Linked DNA regions of Anolis sagrei. The protein of the gene in region 2 interacts with the protein of the main gene of each other region in a pairwise test. Links are inferred from orthologs where the notes say so. Each region holds a gene or a part of one and is shown on either strand. Other genes may lie near its edges.

Region 1 (11,372 bases), on a different chromosome or scaffold from region 2:
TTGTTATATTTGGTTGCATGGCCAACATAGCAAATATATTTCAGACACTATTGCCGAAGAAACATCAAATGCTGTACAGTGTGGTCCTGGGGTGTTTTTGAAATATTCCACTATACATCAGATATAGTTTTTAGGTGGGTAGAAAAATGCATTTTATGTAACCAAGTATTTAGACTCTAAATGTAACAGACAAATTTTGTGACAACTGCAATATTACAGTAATTTTAGGTTTACTCATCTGCATTTAATGTTATTTCCTCCCAAAGTAGTGCCGTTTTCTATTCATCATAATACATTTTTAAGAATTCTTGAAAATTAAAACTTGGCATGTAAGATGAGCAAATCAAAGACAAAAAAAAAACCCTCCAATATTTTATTTTTAACCTAATGAACCACATTGCTCACCATTGCCTCTTGATTTCTGTCTCTTCACAGTGAAATTGCAAAACTTTTCGGGTCTCTAGAAAGAACATCAGAAAAGCACAGAGATATTGAAAGACAATTAAAGATTTTAAAGGGTGAGATGTTTACAAAAATAGATAGTATGGAAATGGAATACTAGGGATACCACAAGGATGTTGTTGATAAACAAGGGTTGCAGAATAGCACATCCAGGAAGTTTTAAAAAATAAATTGCAAAGGAGATGTACAAGAAAGGAGAGGGAAAGGAGATGCACAGGGACTAAGGAGAGGTAGAAGTGCATTGCTCTAACAATGCAACAAGCAAGACCCAGTAGGTATCAACAGAATGTACTCAGGCCGACATTTCATTCCACAAGCAGAGTAATAACTATCCATTTTCTGGAGGAAATGTTTTGGGATTTGCAGATTATATCAATTCCAATGCTGAGAAAACCGACTTGCTGTAAAAAAAATGTACTGGTTAAATGCTATGCTTTGGATTTGTACAAAATGGATCCTGCTGAAGTTTTGAAATAAATGTCCTCAGTCTTGCCGTTACCTTTCTTCTCATTCCATATTTCCTCAAGGGATGACTTTTCAGCATTTACTACAAGAGAAAGAGAAGAACTCACTCAGCTACTAGCTTTATAATATTACAAGGCAGGAAAGCGCAAGAGGCCCCAGGTGGTGCTTTTATGCACAGTTGGAAAGAACAGTTATTGGCAATGTTATTATGTAGGCTCTTTGAAAGTGACCTTTAAAAAAACAACAGATGAAAATGTACTCAATAAAAGGTGTGAAATTGAAAAGACAAAATATTTGTGGGGGGGGGGACCTTTCTGGAACCATTCCTACATACCTTCCAATAATTCGCTGAGGCAAACCAGGACACAATTGGTTAAATAAACGGAGGCAAGATATGAAAAATTATTAACGAAGAAGAATGCATAATGCTAGGAGAAACTGTAGCAGGTTGCTTTTGCCTAAGCCTACAGAGAAGGGCAAGATTTTGCCCTCTCCTCTCCTGCTGCTGAGTTAATTAAGGACAAATGACTTCTTCATTTTCAGCTTACTTTGCAGCAAATGGAGAAAAGTGAGGACAAATGAGGAAAGTAGGAGAAAGAGAGAGAAATCAATTTTTAAAGCATCTGGAAATGTGAGAAAACAGATAATCAGCACTGTTCCTGCCAAATCAGGACAGCTGGAGGGTATGTCTTGAGATAGAAAAGAAAAATAGGTATCACAAGGGAAAGCTGTTCAGCCCAATATGAATATTTTTTTCCTACAACAACAAATGGAAGGAGTGATCTCATCTCAAGACTGTCCTGCACCACTACACTGCAACAATAATCACAGTAGTTTGATTTGGTAAAGTCATAGTGTATCTCTCTTGAGCATAATTAAGATGCACCACATTGGGAGTTATTAGCATAATGATGTAATTTTACTGTGCATGTTTTAACATGGTTCATGAACAGTCAGACATCACAAGCTCTGAGGCTGACTGGGGGCATTAGGCCAAGAAAAGTGACAACATACCTAGAGCCAAACATGGTAGGACTGCAATTATATATGTCAATTCAGAAGTAAGTACCACAGGACTAAAATAGGGACATGTTTCCAGGTGACAGACAGGTGGTACCATGATTACTACTGGATTGAGCCTTGGGAGATCTATGTTCTGATCCCCACTGAGCCATTAAGCCCACTGGGAGATCTTGGGTCAGTCATTCTCAATCAGTGTGACATTACTTCCAGCATTAGTGTTGCAAAAATAACATGAAGAAGATTGTTGTATGTTCAGTGAAGAAAAGGAAAAAAAGTAATTAAAGGTAATTTAAGGATTACATCCTAAAACACATAGTTATGAAATACTGCTGGTGGAAAAGGACAAAACTTGTGAAATATGACAACTGATACCAGCAGCAAGCACTGGCATATATTTCCATAACGATTTCAGACTACAGCATGGTGTCTGAGCAATAAAAACTTAAAATATCTGCAACACTTAAAAGACCAGACCCACGTTTAAAAATTGCCCCGGCACCTAGTCCCCCATAGGAAAAATTAAAGGAAAAGTATTGATTGCTACAAGAAACAGTGCAGTGGAATGATTCTCAAATCAGTGATCGTTTGAAAAGGAATGTTTGTATATACTAGAGCAAAACGTTCAGTTTTAAACTGTATCACAAAGAGCAAGTACTTCCTTGTTACAAATGAATTAAGACAGAGTCTTAAATATATGAGTACAAAAAAACACATGAGTTATTAATCTAATAGCTCCAGTGAACAAGAACGCAAAGAGATTTATAATAAAACAAGATAATAGCATGTAGGGTATGTGAAGAATAGAGGACCCTTATATTTTACAGATCCCACACACTGTCATCACATAATGTTGCATTATCATTACCTACATTTTTCCAGTTCCCTCTGCAATGACTTGCTATGTTCATTTGCCTTGGAAAGCTCCTCACTTAATAACTTCTTGGCTGGAAAAATACATACATTTTAAAAAGGGTTTATTTTTATTTTTATTTATTTGCCATATTTATATCTCCCCTTCTCACCCCAAAGGGGACTCAAAGAAGCGCACATAGAGGCACAATTCAACGCCATACAACATATATCCGGCAAATAAAACATCTACATTAAAAAACCACTAAAACATTTCAACATTTAAAATTATTAAAATTGCATAATCCAATATCATAGTCCAGGCTGTTCCACTTGTCATTGCACCATTCCACATTTACATACTGCACTGATAGGTTAACTGATAATGTTCAGTTTTTTAAATGCTCAGAATTAGCATTATGAATGTTAATGTTCAAAATAGATCTTAAACTTACTATTTAAATGCAAAATCAAACAAATAAGCAAGCCAGACATTGTAGCAATTTACAGATAAAGAGAAATCCAGAGATGACGACTTCAGACTGAATTAAACACTGGTAGAGATGCAGTTTGCACCTAGCAATGCATACTGAAATAAAGATCCAACGAGCCAGTCTCCATTTCTGAAAATACAAAGGCCAGTTACAAATCTCTTTCTTCTCTGGGGTGAAACATATTGGTTCCCAAGGTAGGACATTTGCAGAATAGACAGGTCAGCCTTTATCTAAGTAAAGCTGAACCTTTAGTTTTCAGAAACACTGTTCAAACCAACCAGTTTGAGCATGTTTTAGGGACTCATGTCATGGATACTGAAGACAGGGTGTTGCTTTAAAAAAAAATTGTGGGTGAAATAATGTTATGCAACAAAACGCGCAGCACTGTGCTAATTTGGCTGTTCTTATCCCTTGGATAAGAAAAGGCAAATGTTTAAACAATAGTTAGCAACTGATGCGAATTTGGGAACCAAATTTCTTCTCCACTACAAGATCCTTTGAAGGCCACAGCCATTTCAAAAATGCTCCTTCCCCCACAGAAGTTGCAATCTGAAAAAGTCTGAAGAAGTCCACATCTGAAAAAATTGACTGGGGATATTATGTACAATCATGCAGGAGGGCCATCCAGGGCTATGCTTTATCTATCCTTACTATAAAGTCTATTCAGTATAATTTGAATAAGGGAACAGAGACTAGAAAAATATTAATTACAAATATGATCCTCATTGAGTTATAACATATGTGTGTAGGAGGAGATGGGAGGAAACTATGCATTCAGGAATGGAACAGGAGTAAGAAGAGATACCTCAAAATGTTGGTTTTGCTTCTTTCTTTAAAATGGGGGAATGGCATAAGGATTGCAGATTACTCTCTTTTTGGAAACCACATCTGGGAACATTCAGCTTTTGCACTGCAAGAGCCATCGCGATGTGCAGACCTGGTAACCACTGCTACAAATATAGCTTACTTAGCAAAGGCTTAATTTTGAGATGTAAATAATATAGTTAATCCCTGCCTTTTTCTTTTACCTTGCTGCAATGTATTGATCCTTTTAACTAGGTCTTCAATTCTTGGCTCCAAACTCTCGACTATAAAATCAAGTAGAAATCAAATGAAAACTGAATTATACATGCTATGGTTAAGGAAAAAGCAATACATTAAAATACATTAAAAGTTACAGTTTGTACCAATCTCAATGTCAAAGTCACTTTGCCAACTGAGGTGAAAGGAACAATGACACACATCTTCCTTCCAGGTACAACGGCCAATCAAACAGATAGTAACATCTTTGTATAGTCTAAGGCTTTCATGGCCGGAATCACTGGGTTGTTGTAGGTTTATTTGGGCTACATGGCCATATTCTAGAGGCATTCTCTCCTGACGTTTTGCCTGCATCTATGGCAAGCATCCTCAGAGGTAGTGAGGATGCTTGCCATAGATGCAGGCGAAACGTAAGGAGGGAATGCCTCTAGAACATGGCTATAGCCCAAAAAAACCTACAATAACCCAGTAAAATCTTTGGCACTTGCAATGTAATGACATCCTTCACCACACATGAAGGTACCAGGCTAGCATGAGCAGTGCTAGCCACAGAGTGCCTGGACTCTAAAGCTCTGTCCTCCCAACATTGTGATGAAACTCTTTACCTTATAGCACCTACTTCCTAAGACAACTATAATGGCTAATAGAAAAATACTCTGATCTTGCCCTCACATATAATTGTATGTTATTTATCAAGGGCCAGTATCTAACTCAGAATCCTTATCACAAGCAATATAAATAAAACTCTAATAATTTTTATACCATACTTCTTGTTTCTCCCTAGATCAACTACTAATTTTTCTTCCAAGAACTTTCATCTGACCTCAGCCTCCATTCCATTATATTTTTGCCACAGCCCCTAAACAACGTACCACTTTCCCTTCTACTGATTTCTGCTCAAATCTGTGCTTTCTTGCTCTCTGTTCAGAAGCCAAACATTAATTTTCTAAGAGCCACATGGGACCCATTAGCCACTGCTGACTTCTAAACAATTTTCAAGTCATTATATATGTATTCACCATGCACAAAGTGGTGTATGTTGTCCGTGAAGCACAAGATAAATGATGCAACATGATGTTTGTATGAGTCTCTTGGGCTAAATGAGTTGCCTCTTACCAGTGTACAGGCATACATGGCAAGGGCAGATGCTCTAGTAGGACTATATGATTAGGCAGATGGCAGAGTGAGATGGCTGTTTTGGGGGACAGATGCTGAAGCAGAGAAGCCATCACAATGCATTAGGAGAGAGTCCTGTACCATATGGCATCCTCTGTGTGCCACATAAGCTAGCCTGCTGCCTGTTTCCCCCAGATGTGGTGGCCGGTTATTTTATTTCAGCCAGTGTTAAAAGTGTACATGGGCTGTGCAGATAGTAAGGGATTGGCATGAAGGACAACACTTCTTCCCATTCCTTTACGATCCGACACCTGAACATTACTCTCGTCATCTTTCTAAGTTCAAAATACCATTCTGCATTTGTTTCACAAGTGACAGTATCTCCTCCATTTTTGATGAAAAGTCCCAGGGATCTGGAGAGAGAGAAAAAGCAGAAACAGAATTTATTGTTGTCACCCAATTTTTTCTTCAACCAGACACATTGAAATCTAGGGATCGTATAGGCTTTGTATAACTTTGCTTATACAGGAGCAAGTAGCTTCTGGTGTGAGAGAATTGGCCATCTGCAAGGACGTTGCCCAGGGGACGCCTGGATGATTTGATGTTTTTATCATCCTTGTGGGAGGCTTCTCTCATGTCCCCGCATGAGGAGCTGGAGCTGATAGAGGGAGCTCATCCGCCTCTCCCTGGATTCGAACCTGCGACCTGTCGGTCTTCAGTCCTGCCGGCACAGGAGTTTAACCCACTGCGCCACCGGGGGCTCGCCCTTCTCAGTGCAATCCATCTGTAATATTGGAAATTGTGGTCTACTTCATATTGCTATGAGGCTGAGAACCACACTGTAAAGAATGAACATAACAATAATACTTTTATTAAATTCCAAGGACCCGAGCAACTGAGGGCACCTTCAGGGCCTCTGTTTTCTACAGTTGTTTCTGTACCCCGGAGCGACTTGGCAGTGCCCAAAATATGAAACTCTCTTTCTACATGTGTTCACCTGCTTCTTAATTATAATTTTCGTGAAAATGAATAATGTCCTTCTAGTTCAGGCATGGACAAACTTTGGCCCTCCAGGTGTTTTGGACTTCAACTCCCACAATTCCTACTGGCTGTGAAGTCTTAGCTCTTATATTGGAGTTGCTAGCTTTTAAATTCCTGGTCAGGTGACGGGGCCCAAGGAGGAGAATATGGCCACCAGTTCTGAATACCTTCTCTAGTTCCCATGATGTGTATTTAGGTTTCTATTGTGTATTTCTCCAGTTGTACAGTCTCACCGGGATCATTTCCCTCCATAGTGATGCTACGATTTTCTCCTTCAGCTCCAGCCATTTTCCATCCCCAACCCTCTTTGCTGTTTTCCCGCCTTTTTCCAACTGTCGCTTCTCAGCATTCTTCAGAGAGCAGCCGAGGCAGGGCTCCTCCAAGGAGGGAGGGAGGGAGGGAGGGAGGGAGGAAAAAGGAAGGAAGGAAGGAAGGAAGGAAGGAAGGAAAAAAAGAAAGATCGAAGGAAAGAAAGAAAGACTGATGGAAGGAAGGAAGGAAAAAGGAAGAGGGGGGAGGAAAAAGGGAAGGATAGAAGGAAAGACTGATGGAGGGAAGGAAGGAAAAAGGAAGAGGGGGGAGGAAAAAGGGAAGGAAGGAAAGATGGATGGAAGGAAGGAAGAAAGGCAGGGAGGGAGGGAGGGAGGATGGAAAAAGGGAAGGATGGAAGGAAAGAAAGAAGGAAGGACGGAAGGAAGGACGGACGGAAGGAAGGAAGGAAGGAAGGAAGGAAGGAAGGAAGGAAGGAAGGAAAAAGAAAGGTGGGGGGAAAGGAAGGAAGGGGAAAAACGAAGGAAGGAAGGGAGGGAGGGAGGGAGGAAAGAAATAAGGGAGGGAGGGAGGGAGGAAAGAAGGAAGAGGGGAAAGGAAGGAAGGAAAAAGAAGGGCGAGAGGGAAGAAAAAAGGAAGGAAAAAAGGAAGGGCGGGAGGAAAGAAAAAAGGAAGGAAGGAAAAAAGGAAGGAAAGAAATTAAGAAAGAAGGAAAGAAAGAAAGAAAAAGGAAGGAAGGAAGGGAAAAAGGAAGGAAAGAAGGAAGGAAGGAAGGAAGGAAGGGGAGCCGTGGGCTTTTGGCAGCACTTATTCACTGGAGGACATGTCGCTCGGCCCCTGTTTATCCCCTCAGTGATACATAGCCATTGTCTCAACATGGAGACAAGTAATCCCTGAGTTACATACATCTGACTTACATACAACTTGCATACTCCTAGTTAAGAATGGAGGTGAGACAACAGGAAGTGAGAGAAATCTTCCCAACGTTCCCTCAGGAAGAGTTATCACGGGGAAAAGGTTCCTTCACTGAAGCTTTATCCCCAAGCCTTGTTTCCACAACAAGCCAAATTCAATTATGAGAGGGACAGAAAAGGCGGTGAAATCTTCTGATCAGGGGCACAGACAGCAAAACGAACACCACAGGGATGTTCACCCTTTCCTATGCTATCCAAAGCTAGTATATACAAGTAGCCCTCAAGTTAGGTTCTGTAGGTTTGTTCTTAAGTTGAATTTGTATGTAAACTTGGCACGTTTTTAAAGTGTAAATCCAGGATCTATTTATCTCTCTATCTTTGGATAGCATAGGGAAGCGTTAACACCCTTATGACATTTGTTTTGTTGTCTGTTCCCGTTCAGAAGATTTCACCTCACTTTCTGTCCCTGTGATAGTTGGATCTTGAAAAATGTGGCTCGTGGATACAAGGATTGGTGATAAAGTTTCATTAGAGACCCTTTCCCCCATGATAATAAGAATTCCTGCAGAATTCTGGGATTTGTAGTTTAGGGAGGAGCCTTTAACAGACTCACTGTTAAAGTAGGTTTTAGTGAGATCACTACCAGGTATGTGTGTGTGTTAATAGAAAAAAAAACTTACCTTGGTGAATTACAATATACAGCTTGGGTGAATGGGATTTTTAAGGTCAGCCAATTTAGGCCACTCCCGAAGGGGTATAACTGGGAAGTGTTTGTAATTCAACTTTGGGCTTACTGAATGTTTGCTCCTGATCTTACCCTGCGTTCGCTCCTGGCTTATTTGATGCAGGCAAGTTTATCTTTTCTGCTTGTCTCCATGTCCAAGAAAGGAAAATTGGAAGATACATATTTTCTGTGGGAAAAATTGCATGAGTTAAGTGTAAGGACTATACTTGAGTGTGTTACTCCAGAGGGACTGTGACTGTATTGATGCAATACTGCAAGTTTGTGTTAATGTTACTGGTTTTTGAATTCTGCTGCAGAAGAGTAAAATTTATGTTTTCCTTCTGCTTGTGTTGCTCATATGAAAATACAAAAGGACTAAGTTTCGGTTGTTCTGCATACATTGTCAACCTGTGACAATGATTCAATCAATATGAAAAACTCAGTCTTCAATTACAGTTTTATGCCACGTGTTTAAATTATCCTTGCACATTGCTAGCCCCATCTCAAAGTTTATCTTGTGATTTTCAGGACACTTCTCTAGTATTAAATGCTGTTTTGGGGGAAATGTAAAAAACCAATAAAAATCTAGATCTATAAATTGCTAAGGGTTTATTATACATTTGGGAGCTACAGCATATACATACATTGCTCAAATATGGTAGCAGGATAACCTGGAGCAGGCAGATATTTTATTTTATTGCTAATACAAGTAAAAAATGGGAGCTATTATTATTATTATTATTATTATTATTATTATTGGAAAAAACAGAGGAGGAGGAGAATCACTAGAACTCTAGTTGATGTCTTGGCTCAATGAATGTTTGCCATCTTTTGTTGAAAACCACCCTTAGTCCTCCCGGGAAGATAGGGTGGATAATAAATAAAGGGTTTTTAAAAATATTATTATTATTATTATTATTATTATTATTATTATTATTATTATCTTCCTATTAAACAGAAATGAGCAGTTGTGGGTCTACAAGTGTATTGATATTGCATCTCCCACAATCCTTCACCACTGGCCATGCCAGCTAAGAGTGATGTGAGTTGCAAGTCAGTAATACCTAAGGAGCCTTACTTACTTAGGCGATCTCTCATTGTCAGAGTAGGATAATCCTCCAGGGTGGATCCGTAGGTGACTATGGAGTCTTATTCTTGATTTGCATCGTCTCCCACAGTGAGGGCACTGGTTTCCAGGTGGAAGGCGGTCCCAGTTGGAATTGGCTTGACGCGCCTCCCTTTTGGCACATTTCTCTCTTTCGCCCTCCATTCGTGCCTCTTCAAATTCTGCAGTACTGCTGGTCACAGCTGACCTCCAGCTGGAGCGCTCACATGCGGTATTATTGACAAGTCTTGCCTGTGTTGACTCTTAGCTTGGGGCAAGTAATAACTTCTTCAACAGATTTTAATAAACAGTGGTTTTCAAGGAATGCAACTTGAATTGGACAAGTCTCAAATTAAAAACCAAAGTTCATTCAAATATGTTGAAGAAGTTATTACTTGACCCAACCTAAGAGTCAACACAAGCAAGACTTGTCAATAATATCTCATGTGGTTATCTGAAAGACGTTCTTTACTGAACGTCACTCAGATAGCCAGGCAGTGCAGCTTTAGAGCAGCTGATTGATTAGGCAGCAGATAAGTAACACTGGACTGTATAAACAGGTGGATTAATAACACCCCCCTCCAGAAGGTATGCTAGTAATTGTTTTTGTAGGACATCAACATTTATTCACTTAAGTGAGTGCTGACAATTAAATAAATAGCAGATGATTGATTCAGTATGAGTACTTACAGTGGTTTCTGTGATGCAGTGGTTTCTGTGTTCGACTCAGGAAGAACACAGTCTGAATCCCCACTCAGCATGGAAACCAGCTGTACGCATACCATACTCTCTCAGAGGAAGGCAATGGCAAACCTCCTCCGAACAAATCTTACCAAGAAAAACCCATGATAAGTTTACCCTTTGAGTCACCATAAGTAAGAAGCAATACGAAGACACACAACAATGGCAAACAAGTAATATAACACAAGTGGAGACTGCAAAAATGCCCTCCTGTTCAACAAGATTGAATGTCAATTTTATGGTGACATGTTTTTAGAAAGACCTTTCTTTGGGACTATTTTCCCCTCTTATTAGCAGACTAAAGCAATCGGACAACATCTCTCTTTTTACTGCAAGCCAACCACTGAGGATTCCTGGAAATGAATGAGTGAAACACAATTGGTTCTGATTGGCTATGCAGGAGATCTTTGCTAAATGTTCTGGCAAATGGAAAAAGAAAAGAGACACATTCCAAGATAAAACTGATTTTAAAACGGGTTGTGTTTGTATTTAATAAGATGCTTCCAGTTCTCAGCATATCAGTTCAGGCAGATATATCAACCCTCATTGTCAGCCAGCCACATGATGCATAGAATCATTACTTTTCTTTTTTATCAGGGCACGGGGAAAATGCCAGCCAGAAGCAAGCTGAGCAAGCAAGCACAACACCAGGAGGGATCCAACAGCAACAAAGATACCCTGCAAACTGCATAATTGCTTCAGTCACTGCAGCACAAGCAATGAGGGCAAGTTCAGTACTCAGCTGACATCGTAGCTGGCAACAGTAATCAGCACCTTTATACAAGCTTCTCGGGTTAAATCCAGCAGTCCCCCAAAATACCACACGACACACTACTCCCATCCTATAAGAAACCACAAGGTGGTAGGCATACTCACAGGAGGAAAAGAACAAATGTTCCCTCCTGCTATATTCTGGACAAAAAAATGATGCATTTTTTTTTTTAGCAAAACAGGAAGGGCAGGGATACAGAACAGACCCAGTGGAGCAGCAGCAAGTTTATACAGGGCACATATTTGCACAGCAGGAGAGTGCTTGCTCAGGAAGGGGAATGATAAAACTGTCAATTGCTTGCAAATTAGACCTTCAAGTCTCCTTCTGAGAAGAGCAGCTGTTCCAGGAGTTGGTG
Region 2 (10,028 bases):
TGAATAATGTCAAGTTAGTCTCTATTCTCATGCTTCCATTCTGAAAGAAAAAACACAGGCAGGTTACATTTCAACATCTGTTTCTACAGTGTTCTAAAGTATATTTTTTGCTGCTGTGTGCCGTTAAGTCACTTCCAACTTTATGGAAAAGCTATCATGGCGGTTTCTTGCCAAGATTTGTTTAGAGTGGGGTTGCCTTTTCTTTCTCCTGAGACAGAAAAAGCATTATTGCTCAAAATCATCCATATGCAATATTTTATTCCAGTGTTTACTTTTATATTCCTATAGTACCATAGCATATCATCATATTTCATGCTGCAGTGCTTCTCAATTCTCCCTCCCAATATTCCCTCTGGTTTTGCTATTTTTTTATCAGTAATTAATATTCTTCTTCAATTGTTCCCTTTTAGTTGAAGATGTTGACTGCACACTTTTCCAGATCCAAATACCTACCCTTTTCCTAATCTGTCAGTGACAAATTTACACTTTTTCATGCATACTTTCCCATCTCTGCAGGGGCAAAAATAACTTTCTATTCACTCTAAATTAGAAAACATCATCGTGCCTTGTTTATTATATTTCTAAACAAGCATCAAATGGAGTAAACAAGCATCAAATGGAGTAAAAACTCATATGTGTACATGCTCTGTTTAATATTATAAAGTTTAAAAGAAAGAGTTTCAGAGAGTTCTCATTGCTTTCCACTTGTGCTTCCCTTGAGCCACCTGTGTATCCATGGCCAGCTGATCGGGTATTTCAGGCTTTTAAAAAGCACATGTGCGCTGTAGGAGTCCACACAGGGGGGAGGGAAGGGAAGCAAATGTTTTGTATGACTACATGTATATATAGTTATGAGACAGTGCACATTTTGGAGACGGAATCAGATTTTAAGCGAATCTTTTTAACATGTGCTTTCCAACTGTTAACCCATTTTAGCCTGCACTTTGGCTAAACAATCCCTTTTAACCCAGTTACTTTTCTGGGTTTTATGTGTAGAAGAACCCTAATTTGTTTTCAACTTATGGTGACCCTAATGTTAACCTGTCACAGGGTTGTCCAAAGGTTTCCATGCTGAGACTCTGTCTCTAAAGTCATAGTCCAAAGCCCATACCACTGCATCACATCAATCTTTCCTTCTGAGATGTTCTTGTGGCTATTCCTTGCTGCTGGTGATCCTGTCAAAGCCCTGGCTGCCCTCCAGAATAAAGAAATGATCAGGGTGATGGACTTGGTTGCCCCTGAGGGTCCATGGAGTGGGGCTGATCTGGGGCCCTGGTTTATCAGTGAGCCAATGGCATTGGAAGGAAGGTCTAATAATTCAAAACGTCATTACTGCTTTTTGAATCAACAACAGAACTTTATTAGCTCTTACATCACAGGAGGGAGATAATTTCCTGAAAGTAGATGGACTTCTATTCAACCTATCCGATCTCCCTGTAGCTGTTCAACTAACAGGCTTCTTCATTCAGTATTCTCTGACTGACTCTCAATTAAATCAAAGGCGTTAAGCGTCTCTTGCAGCAAGCCCATCTGAGCGATAATATTACTGATAGCATCTTTGGTGGTCTTTTGTTGGAGCTTAAGTTTATTGTTCTCCTCCCAAAGTATTTTGTTCCCTCCTTCATTATTCTGGAGTGCCTGCTTATCTTCCAGAAGTGTGTGGTTCTCTTTTATGAGAAACAATACCATTTGGTTCAGTTTCTGAACAGTTTCAAGTACTTCGTTTTCTTCTAACAGTGATAAGGCAGTTTGTTGCCTTTCTTTTTCTGAGGTGGCACTGCTGTCTTCTTGTGTTTCTGGTTCAGCTGTAGCAGGCTCAGCTGATGCAGAGGTATTGTTTGTTTCCTGCTCAAGGGGTTCCTTTCCCAATAAGAGGTCAGATTGCTTTTCCTTCTGAAGGACTGGGGTGAGTTTCTTCTCCTCCTCAGGAAAAACCTTCAAAGCCAAAATCTTATCCCGAAAGATTTGAAGAGCTTTTTTCTCTTCTTGGATAAATTGAAGGGCTTTGTTTTCCTTACCCCCCTGGAGTCCTCCTTTGCGTGAAAGAGCTACTAAAGGCTTATTTTCCTGTTGGAGCATTTGTTGAAGACTCTCATCATAGATAACCTGAATACCTTTGTTCTGTGTCCTTAGACACTGGAGTACTTTATTCTCTTCCCGAAGTGCCCTGTTTTCCACTCGGAGGGCCTTGTTTTCTTCCCAGAGGGCTTTGTTTTCTTCCCAGAGGGTCAAGTCACTGTGCATCTTCTTGCTATAGTGTTTCTTGTGGGCTTCTGCTGAAGAGGAAATTGCTGGTTGAACAAACGATTCATTCACCCACTTGCCATCTAGAAAGACAAAGGTGTCATCACTGAGTTTGACCTTCGGCGGGATGCAGTCCATCTTTACCTTCCACTAGGTGCATATATTGGTTCAAAAGAAAGTCCGAAGACCTGGATTATTGCATGAAAGTGAAGAAATACACATTAAATTATATTATTTGATAGTTTATCAGCAATATGCATTAGTTATAATCAAGCACTCTGAAATCGGTACAATTAAAATAATGAACCATGAAAAACATTAAGTCTGTTATAAAGGCTACAAAATGAAATTAAATGAAATCACATGAGATTAAGACATTCTCGAGTCAATGTTTGTAGTTCTTTTTTCTTCTTTTGGAAAATGAAACATTTTAAAGCCAATAATTTGTTTAAAGCCAAGCCAGCTTCCCTAAGAATTGCCTTCACTAAACTGCTTTGTTAAATAATGCCTGCCGCAGTTCTAGATAAATGCTATAATAAAGTGCTATTTGAAAACAGATTATTTCAAACAGGTTAACTATTTGAAATCAGTTAACAAGGTAGATGTGTTTCTGAGCTTTACTTCTTTAACGGAAAATGTGCACCAGAGGAAGAAATAAGAAGGAAATAATAGGTATAGGTTCTTACACCACAACTAAGGAACAGTTCAATATGGTTTTTCCCTGAAAAACAGTATGCACATGGGAACAAAACAATTAAGTTGGCTAAATGTTGTATAAGTAGTCTCTACTCACATTGACAGAGCTCAAAACTCCTGCAGAAGTAGAAAAACTGCAAAACGCATTCTATGGATCGCCTGTCATTCCCTTTCTCATCTTTCACCACAAAGCCTCAGACAGATCTTAAACCCCTTTCCCAACTATTGACTTCCTCGCCCTCTGTTACCAGATTTTAAATCCCTTTTCAGCTACATTACTTTGGCCCATTCCACACAGCTGAATAAAATCCCACATTATCTGCTTTGAGCTGGAATATATGGCAATGTGGACTCAGAAAACCCAGTTCAAAGCAGATATTGTGGGATTTTCCGTCTTGATATTCTGGGTGATATGGCTGTGTGGAAGGGACCTTTGTCTCTCCTTCCATGTCCTTCCAAAAGCACCAGTCCCTCTCCATTCACCACCTTTGCACCAAAACTTGCCTTCATTCAGTCATTATACACAATAAGTTCTTTTGTAAAATGGATTCATGATATTTGTTATAAATATTCTATTTAGGTAGGAGGGATAATAATTATGAAGCTTCATCAAATATTCCATATTTTCCCACGGAATTGTCTCATCTAGCCAATTGAAAAAAAAGTTTTATTTATTTATTTATGACATTTATATGTCGCCCTTCTCACCCCGAAGGGGACTCAGAGCGGCTTACAAGGTATATGTTACATATAATATATTAGATTATTAGCATAGTACAATATCAGTATTAAACATTGCTATATTGCACCATACCACTATATCGTAATATTATTAGTAATATTACATGTAATATAAATATATAATAATAATAATAATAATGTATTATTATTATTATTATTATATTGCATTACATTATAATATTATAAATATTATATGTATATACAATTTATTATATTTATAATTTTATTATTTTAGAATGAAAAGAACCATAATGTAGTACAATGTTTGATATTCTCAACCTCCCTTTTTGGTAAACGTAACTGTTTTTAGAAACTGTTGCTTCCAAAAAAAAAATGGCCAATTTTATACATTTGTTGTAGATGGCGTAGTGCAGGGATAAGCAGCTGTGGAAAGCTAGAGTCTACATATCGTCTCCAAGAGCCTAAACCTCCCACTTACTCTTGAAAAATATGTGGGGTTCCTTGGACCCCTCAAGAGCATTGTGGGTAATTTTACGTGGGGAAAGAATGGAGATATTTGGCAAACATTTGTTTTGATTGCGGGGATTCCAAGAGGGAGCTCCAAACATGGTAAAAATACTTTCCACAAACCCAAATCTTCCTGTGGGGTCATTTTGAGGGACAATTGATCCTGGGAAGTCTTTTTTCCAACCCCTACTTTAGTGGAGTAACATGATATAAAAATAACAGTTCGGAAAGATTGTGAATTTTAGTTGTTGCTAGAGAAAAAGCATTGAAATATTTAACTTCACATTCATTCCACTTATTTTTAACCAATTTGTGAAAGACATGTAGTTTATTCTAACGAACAGATTAAAATATTTTTGATAATAGCTGTGTATTTAAAGTGAGAAAACAAATATTGAACTTCAATTAATGTTTATATTTTTATCATGGTATTCCCTGTAGTAACCTACGGATGTGAGAGCTGGACCTTAGGGAAGGCTGAGCGAAGGAAGAGAGATGTTTTTGAGCTGTGGTGTTGGAGGAAAGTTCTGAGAGTGCCTTGGACCGCGAGAAGATCCAACCAGTCCATCCCCTAGGAAATAAAGCCAGATTGCTCATTGGAGGGAAGGATACTAGAGACAAAGTTGAAGTACTTTGGCCACATCATGAGGAGACAGCAAAGCCTAGAGAAGACAATTATGCTGGGGAAAGTGGAAGGTAAAAGGAAGAGGGGCCAACCAAGGGCAAGATGGATGGATGGCATCCTTGAAGTGACTGGACTGACCTTGAAGGAGCTGGGGGTGGTGACGGCCGACAGGGAGCTCTGGCGTGGGCTGGTCCATGAGGTCACAAAGAGTCGGAGACAACTGAACGAATGAACAATCATGTCAGGTGCGACATGAGAAACTGCAAATTGCTTCTGGTGTGAGAGAATTGGCTGTCTGCAAGGACATTGTCCAGGGAGCACCCGGATGTTTTACCATCCTGTGGGAGATTTCTCTCATGTCCAAGATAAGAAGCTGGAGCTGACAGACAGGAGCTCACTCAGCTCCCTGGATTCGAACTGCTGACCTTTTTCGGTCTGCAGTCCTGCCAGTGCAAGGGTTTAACCCATTGCACCACCAGGGGCTCCATTTAATGCCCGTTCTTTCTAGGATGTCATACGCTGTTCCAACAAATGGGCTATTTTTCTCCCTCACCAACAGTGCTTTATAGAGAGCAATGAGCATGCTGAATCTCATCAAGCTGTTCGCAGAAGCTTGTCTTTTCTTTTAAACTTATGTACAAACATTATTTGGCATGTGGTGTGCCTGGTTCACTGTCTAGATGACAGGCATGGAACAATTATTCTGGTATTAGAGGGAACAAACAAAGAATCCGAACAAGTTTTCTAACCAGTTTCAAAAAGGAGACTTGATCAGAGTTTGTAGAGTTGAGAACGAGTATCTGGAGTGATGGGATCAGTAGTAAGTAAAAACATTTTAACTTTAATAAACTTCCCATTCTGATTGCTCCTCTTACAAGTTCTAAAATACTAAATTACTTAGTTGTTGTAGGTTTTTGGGGTTGTAGGGCCATGTTCTAGAAGAATTCTCTCATCCTTAGAGGTTGTGAGGTTTGTTGGAAACTGGAAAATTGGGTTTATATACTGGTAGCCAGTACTAAAAAACTCTAAAATTATAACAGTAAATAAAAAACAAAACTCAAACGCAGGGAAACTCCAGCCAGGAAACAATCAGGAACACCTGGTCACTTCTCAACAAGGAAATTTCCCAGGCAGAAACAAGCCACACCTAAAAGCTGCCAGGCCATCAAATGCTAATCAAGGTGGCTAATCGAAACATTCACGCCTAGCTCCAACAGACAAAAGTTCTTTCTCCCCCTGGACCTTCCACAGATATATAAACCCTATGTTCCTAGTTAGCAACAAACCTCACAACCTCTGAGGATGCCTGCCACAGGTGCAGGCAAAACATCAGGAGAGAATGCTTCTAGAACATGGCCATACAACCTGAAAAACCTACAGCAACCCAGTGATCCCAGCCATGAAAGCCTTCAACAATACACTAAATTACTTAGATTTGTGTTGGCTGCTAGTTTAGTATTCATCTTTTCTTCTCCTCCAAACCTTCACAGGTTTTGTTGACAAAAGAGAGTTGGCAGAAATATTTTGCTAGCAATCTGGAAATCCTACTCAGGTCTTTAAATCATATACAATTTGGGGGGGCAAACTATGTTTGGGAGAATAGTATGACAAGTAGAAATTGAGTGTTCCTTATCTGGAATTTCAAAATCTAAACTACTCAAAATCTTGAAATTGTCTGCATGGGTGGCTAAGATAGTGACACCTTTGCTTTATGGTGGTTCAATGTAGAATTGGCAAAACAGCTTTAAGGCTGTTCTTATGAGAGAGTGGGGTAAAGAGGTGTCTGGAATACTTTGGTTTAAGAGCCAATGGGGAGAAAACCCATGCAAAAGGAACTAGCGTTGTGTATTGATACATGGGATGAAAGCCCATTGAATATTTAAATTGCTTTACCTATACATGTATTGTGCAGTCACTTATTTTTCATATCTAACAATGTCATTTGTATGATTAGCAACTCTTGTTATTTTAAATAAAGTTTATTATGCTTTGAGCACCTTGTTTCCAGAATTGAGTCTGCCTGTATGTTACAAACAAGCAAGGACTACTCGTGACATGCCACAACCAGTAGGGAATAATTGGTCAGATGGATAGAAGTGACCACCAGTATAATCAGAAGTGCACTTTGGACTTCAAAAATCCTGTTTCAATATGAGTAAGATTTCAATATGAGTGAAGTTAAAACACGAAAAAGTTCATGTAGTTTTTTTTCAAGTGAGACATTAAAATTTCAATTGTAAACAATTCATTTAAAAAATAAAGGAGACACTAAAGAAATGAAATGTGTTTAAGAAACACACAGGAAGAGTAAAGAGAACTGGCCAATGTTTGTAGTGAGATAATCAAGAAAGCTAATATTTGAATTATAGAAGTTGTTTTAATTGTGTTTTAACATTCGTATTAGCTTGGGGGTTTTAAGGTTGTTCTGTACTTTTACATGTTTGTAAGCTGTCCTGAATGTCATGGTGGGATAAAGACTGGATGGAGAAATGAATGGATGTACAAACAAATATAGCATTCAGATTTTCGGGCTCACAACCTCTGAGGATGCTTGTCATAGATGCAGGCGAAATGTCAGGAGAGAATGCTTCTAGAACATGGCCATATAGCCTGAAAATCCTACAACAACCCAGTAATTCCAGCCATGAAAGCCTTCAGCAATACATAGCATTCAGAGTTAGCTCAGGCATGCAAGAAGTGTCAAAATACTAAAAGGGATTTTCCAGCTGTGTTTAGAACAAGAAGAAAAAGCTGGTTTAAGTACACAGCATGAAGACGATGGCATAATACTAAGAGGTGTTTAACTCAATAACTTTACCTCTGTCTTCTTCCAAAAATGGCATTTAGCCTGGACTTTCTCCACATTGCATCGTTATAGCAGTTTGATGCCACTTTGACTTCTGTGGTTCCATCCTACATTATACAGATGCACAAATACTAGATGGATTGCACCTAGCTTGACGGTACAATGGGCCCGTAGTATCCACTGGAGTTTGGTTCCAGAACCCCCAATGGATATCAAAATTCATGGGTGCTCAAGTCTCATGTTATACAATGGTGTAATAAAGTTGCGTCCCTTGTACAAAATGGCAAAATCAAGGTTTGCTTTTTGTAATGTTCTTTTGTGGGAATATATGGATGGTTGAATCAATGAATTCCGAATCCACAGATATGAAGGACCAACTGTATGTATACAAGCATGTAGAGATGATGATGATTTCTTCATTCATATACCACCTTTCCTCTTATCCTGGGCAAATAAAGTATATGGATATATAGAGATATAGATATATATACACACACATACATACACATGTATAAGCTAGGGTCACATAAGATTTTGCAGATGAAAAGGAGTTGCAAGATGGAAAAGTTTATGAAGCCCTGAGCTAGCACAACAGCAAGAGGATCCTACTGAGAAAGATTAGGGAGCTAGGCCCAAAGTACTTACTTTCTTTTTAAAAATCAGTTTGAATAGTTGTCTGTTTTTGTTTTTGCTTTCCAATACTATGTTGACATCTGAAGTATGGACCATGAAGGAAGAGCAGCCAGCACCTGTCATTCATTCAAACTGATTTCTACTACTGCTTGTTACTGCAGAAACATGTAAGCAAAGGATGCTGTGTCAGATCCATTGTGACATAGACATAGCAACTTATGCACAACCAGAACACAATAAGGACCCCCCTGAAGGAGAGAGGTAAATTATCTCATAAAATTCATTTCAATTAAAGGTGGATTCAGAATCAAGAGTTTTGCAGTAACAGATTCTGTGACATATAATATCATTGTGACATATAATAGGTTTAGTAGAGTTCCTCAAGAAGATTCTGTTCCACCTGCCCTTTGTGCTTAAGCTCAAGTATATACTATGAACAAGACTTACATACTACTCAGTCCCTTGGGCTGACATCTAAGGCCACTTCCACACAGCTGAATAAAATCTCACATTTTCTGCTTTGAACTGGAATATATGGCTGTGTGGACTCGGATAACCCAGCTCAAAGCAGATATTCTGGGTTATATGGCTGTGTGGAAGGGCCCTAAGTTGAATCTGTAAAGATATGAGTAGAATGTTTTAAATTCTACATATATCCCTCCGTATTGATTTGTCCTCTTTTGCTCTAAACTGAGATTATGCCTTGAATCTCATTGGTAGTTTTAGCTAGGGTAGACCCATTGAAAGAAGGGGATTTATCCATGATTCACCATTCAACAGTCCTACATTTCTTGAGCCCAATCAACAGTTTCTTTGATTTCCCCTCCTCACATATTATTCTATATTTTATGTCTAAATAGGAAATAATGTCATAAAAGCTTCATGGTTTTTTTTTTTAAAAAAAAACCCCAATCTTAAAGGAGCTGCTATATTCCTTCTAATCCAACCCCTTCCTCCTTTTATGTTTTAAGTGAAATACACTATGAAAAATTGTGTTTGCTATGTCCGGTATAGTTGCTTCCATCCATTCAGCAGCAGATCTAAGCTTCCCACATTAAGAGTGTAACATGTCAAAATCTAGAAATTGAGATAGAAAATTAACATGAATTATATAGTTAATGAAACCTCATGAAAAATAGGCTAACAAAAACACTTTCACTGTGAAACTATTTTTTTACTCCTTTGTTTAGGGAAAAATGATGTTTACAAGAGTGTCACATTTGGGTTGGAATCAGAGGCCGTTGATCAGATGGCAGGACAGATTAGTGCAGGGGTCCTCAAACTAAGGCCCGGCTGTCCAAGCTCATTTATCCAGCCCTCATGCAGGGTCAACCTAAGTCTGAAATTATTTGAAAACACACAACAACAACAACAACAACAACCCTATCTCATCAGCCAAAAACAGGCCCACACTTCCAACTGAAATCCCAATAAATTTATATTTGTCAAAATTGTTATTCATTTTAATTATTGTATTGTTTTTAAGTGTTTTTTGTATTACAAATAAGATATGTGCAGTGTGCATAGGAATTCATTCATTTTTTTTCAAATTATAATCCGGCCCTCCAACAGTTTGAGGGACTGTGACCTGGCCCTCTGTTTAAAAAATGTGTAGACTCCCTGGATTAGTGGGTGGTTACTAGTCCAGAAAGGTTGGTGATTGTGTCGTCATTTTTTAAACATATAGTGCATATTGCCAAAGTCTAGGAAGTCTTCTGAAATAGAGTCAACCCTTCATAAAAGGAAAAATATACATGTATTCTGTCTCCATTCAGGGTCAGTGTGTGTGTTGGGAGACATTAAAGTTCATTTAGT

Evidence for each region.
Region 1: the proteins of CBY2 (region 2) and synaptonemal complex central element protein 1-like interact in binary tests that used the Homo sapiens proteins (3 or more experiments, as listed by UniProt). The two-hybrid records come from large-scale screens. The link is inferred for Anolis sagrei from reciprocal best matches to the Homo sapiens genes CBY2 and SYCE1.

Annotation. Positions count from the first base shown.
Region 1 is NC_090022.1:193,715,158-193,726,529, reverse strand, and holds the start of synaptonemal complex central element protein 1-like, read right to left. Parts: upstream 6,842-11,372; 5' UTR 6,780-6,841; coding exon 6,725-6,779; intron 5,864-6,724; coding exon 5,801-5,863; intron 4,382-5,800; coding exon 4,322-4,381; intron 2,895-4,321; coding exon 2,820-2,894; intron 1,010-2,819; coding exon 962-1,009; intron 461-961; coding exon 406-460; intron 1-405. UniProt on the Homo sapiens protein: Major component of the transverse central element of synaptonemal complexes (SCS), formed between homologous chromosomes during meiotic prophase. Requires SYCP1 in order to be incorporated into the central element.
Region 2 is NC_090023.1:141,537,074-141,547,101, forward strand, and holds CBY2 (protein chibby homolog 2), read right to left. Parts: upstream 2,429-10,028; 5' UTR 2,383-2,428; coding exon 1,462-2,382; 3' UTR 1,373-1,461; downstream 1-1,372.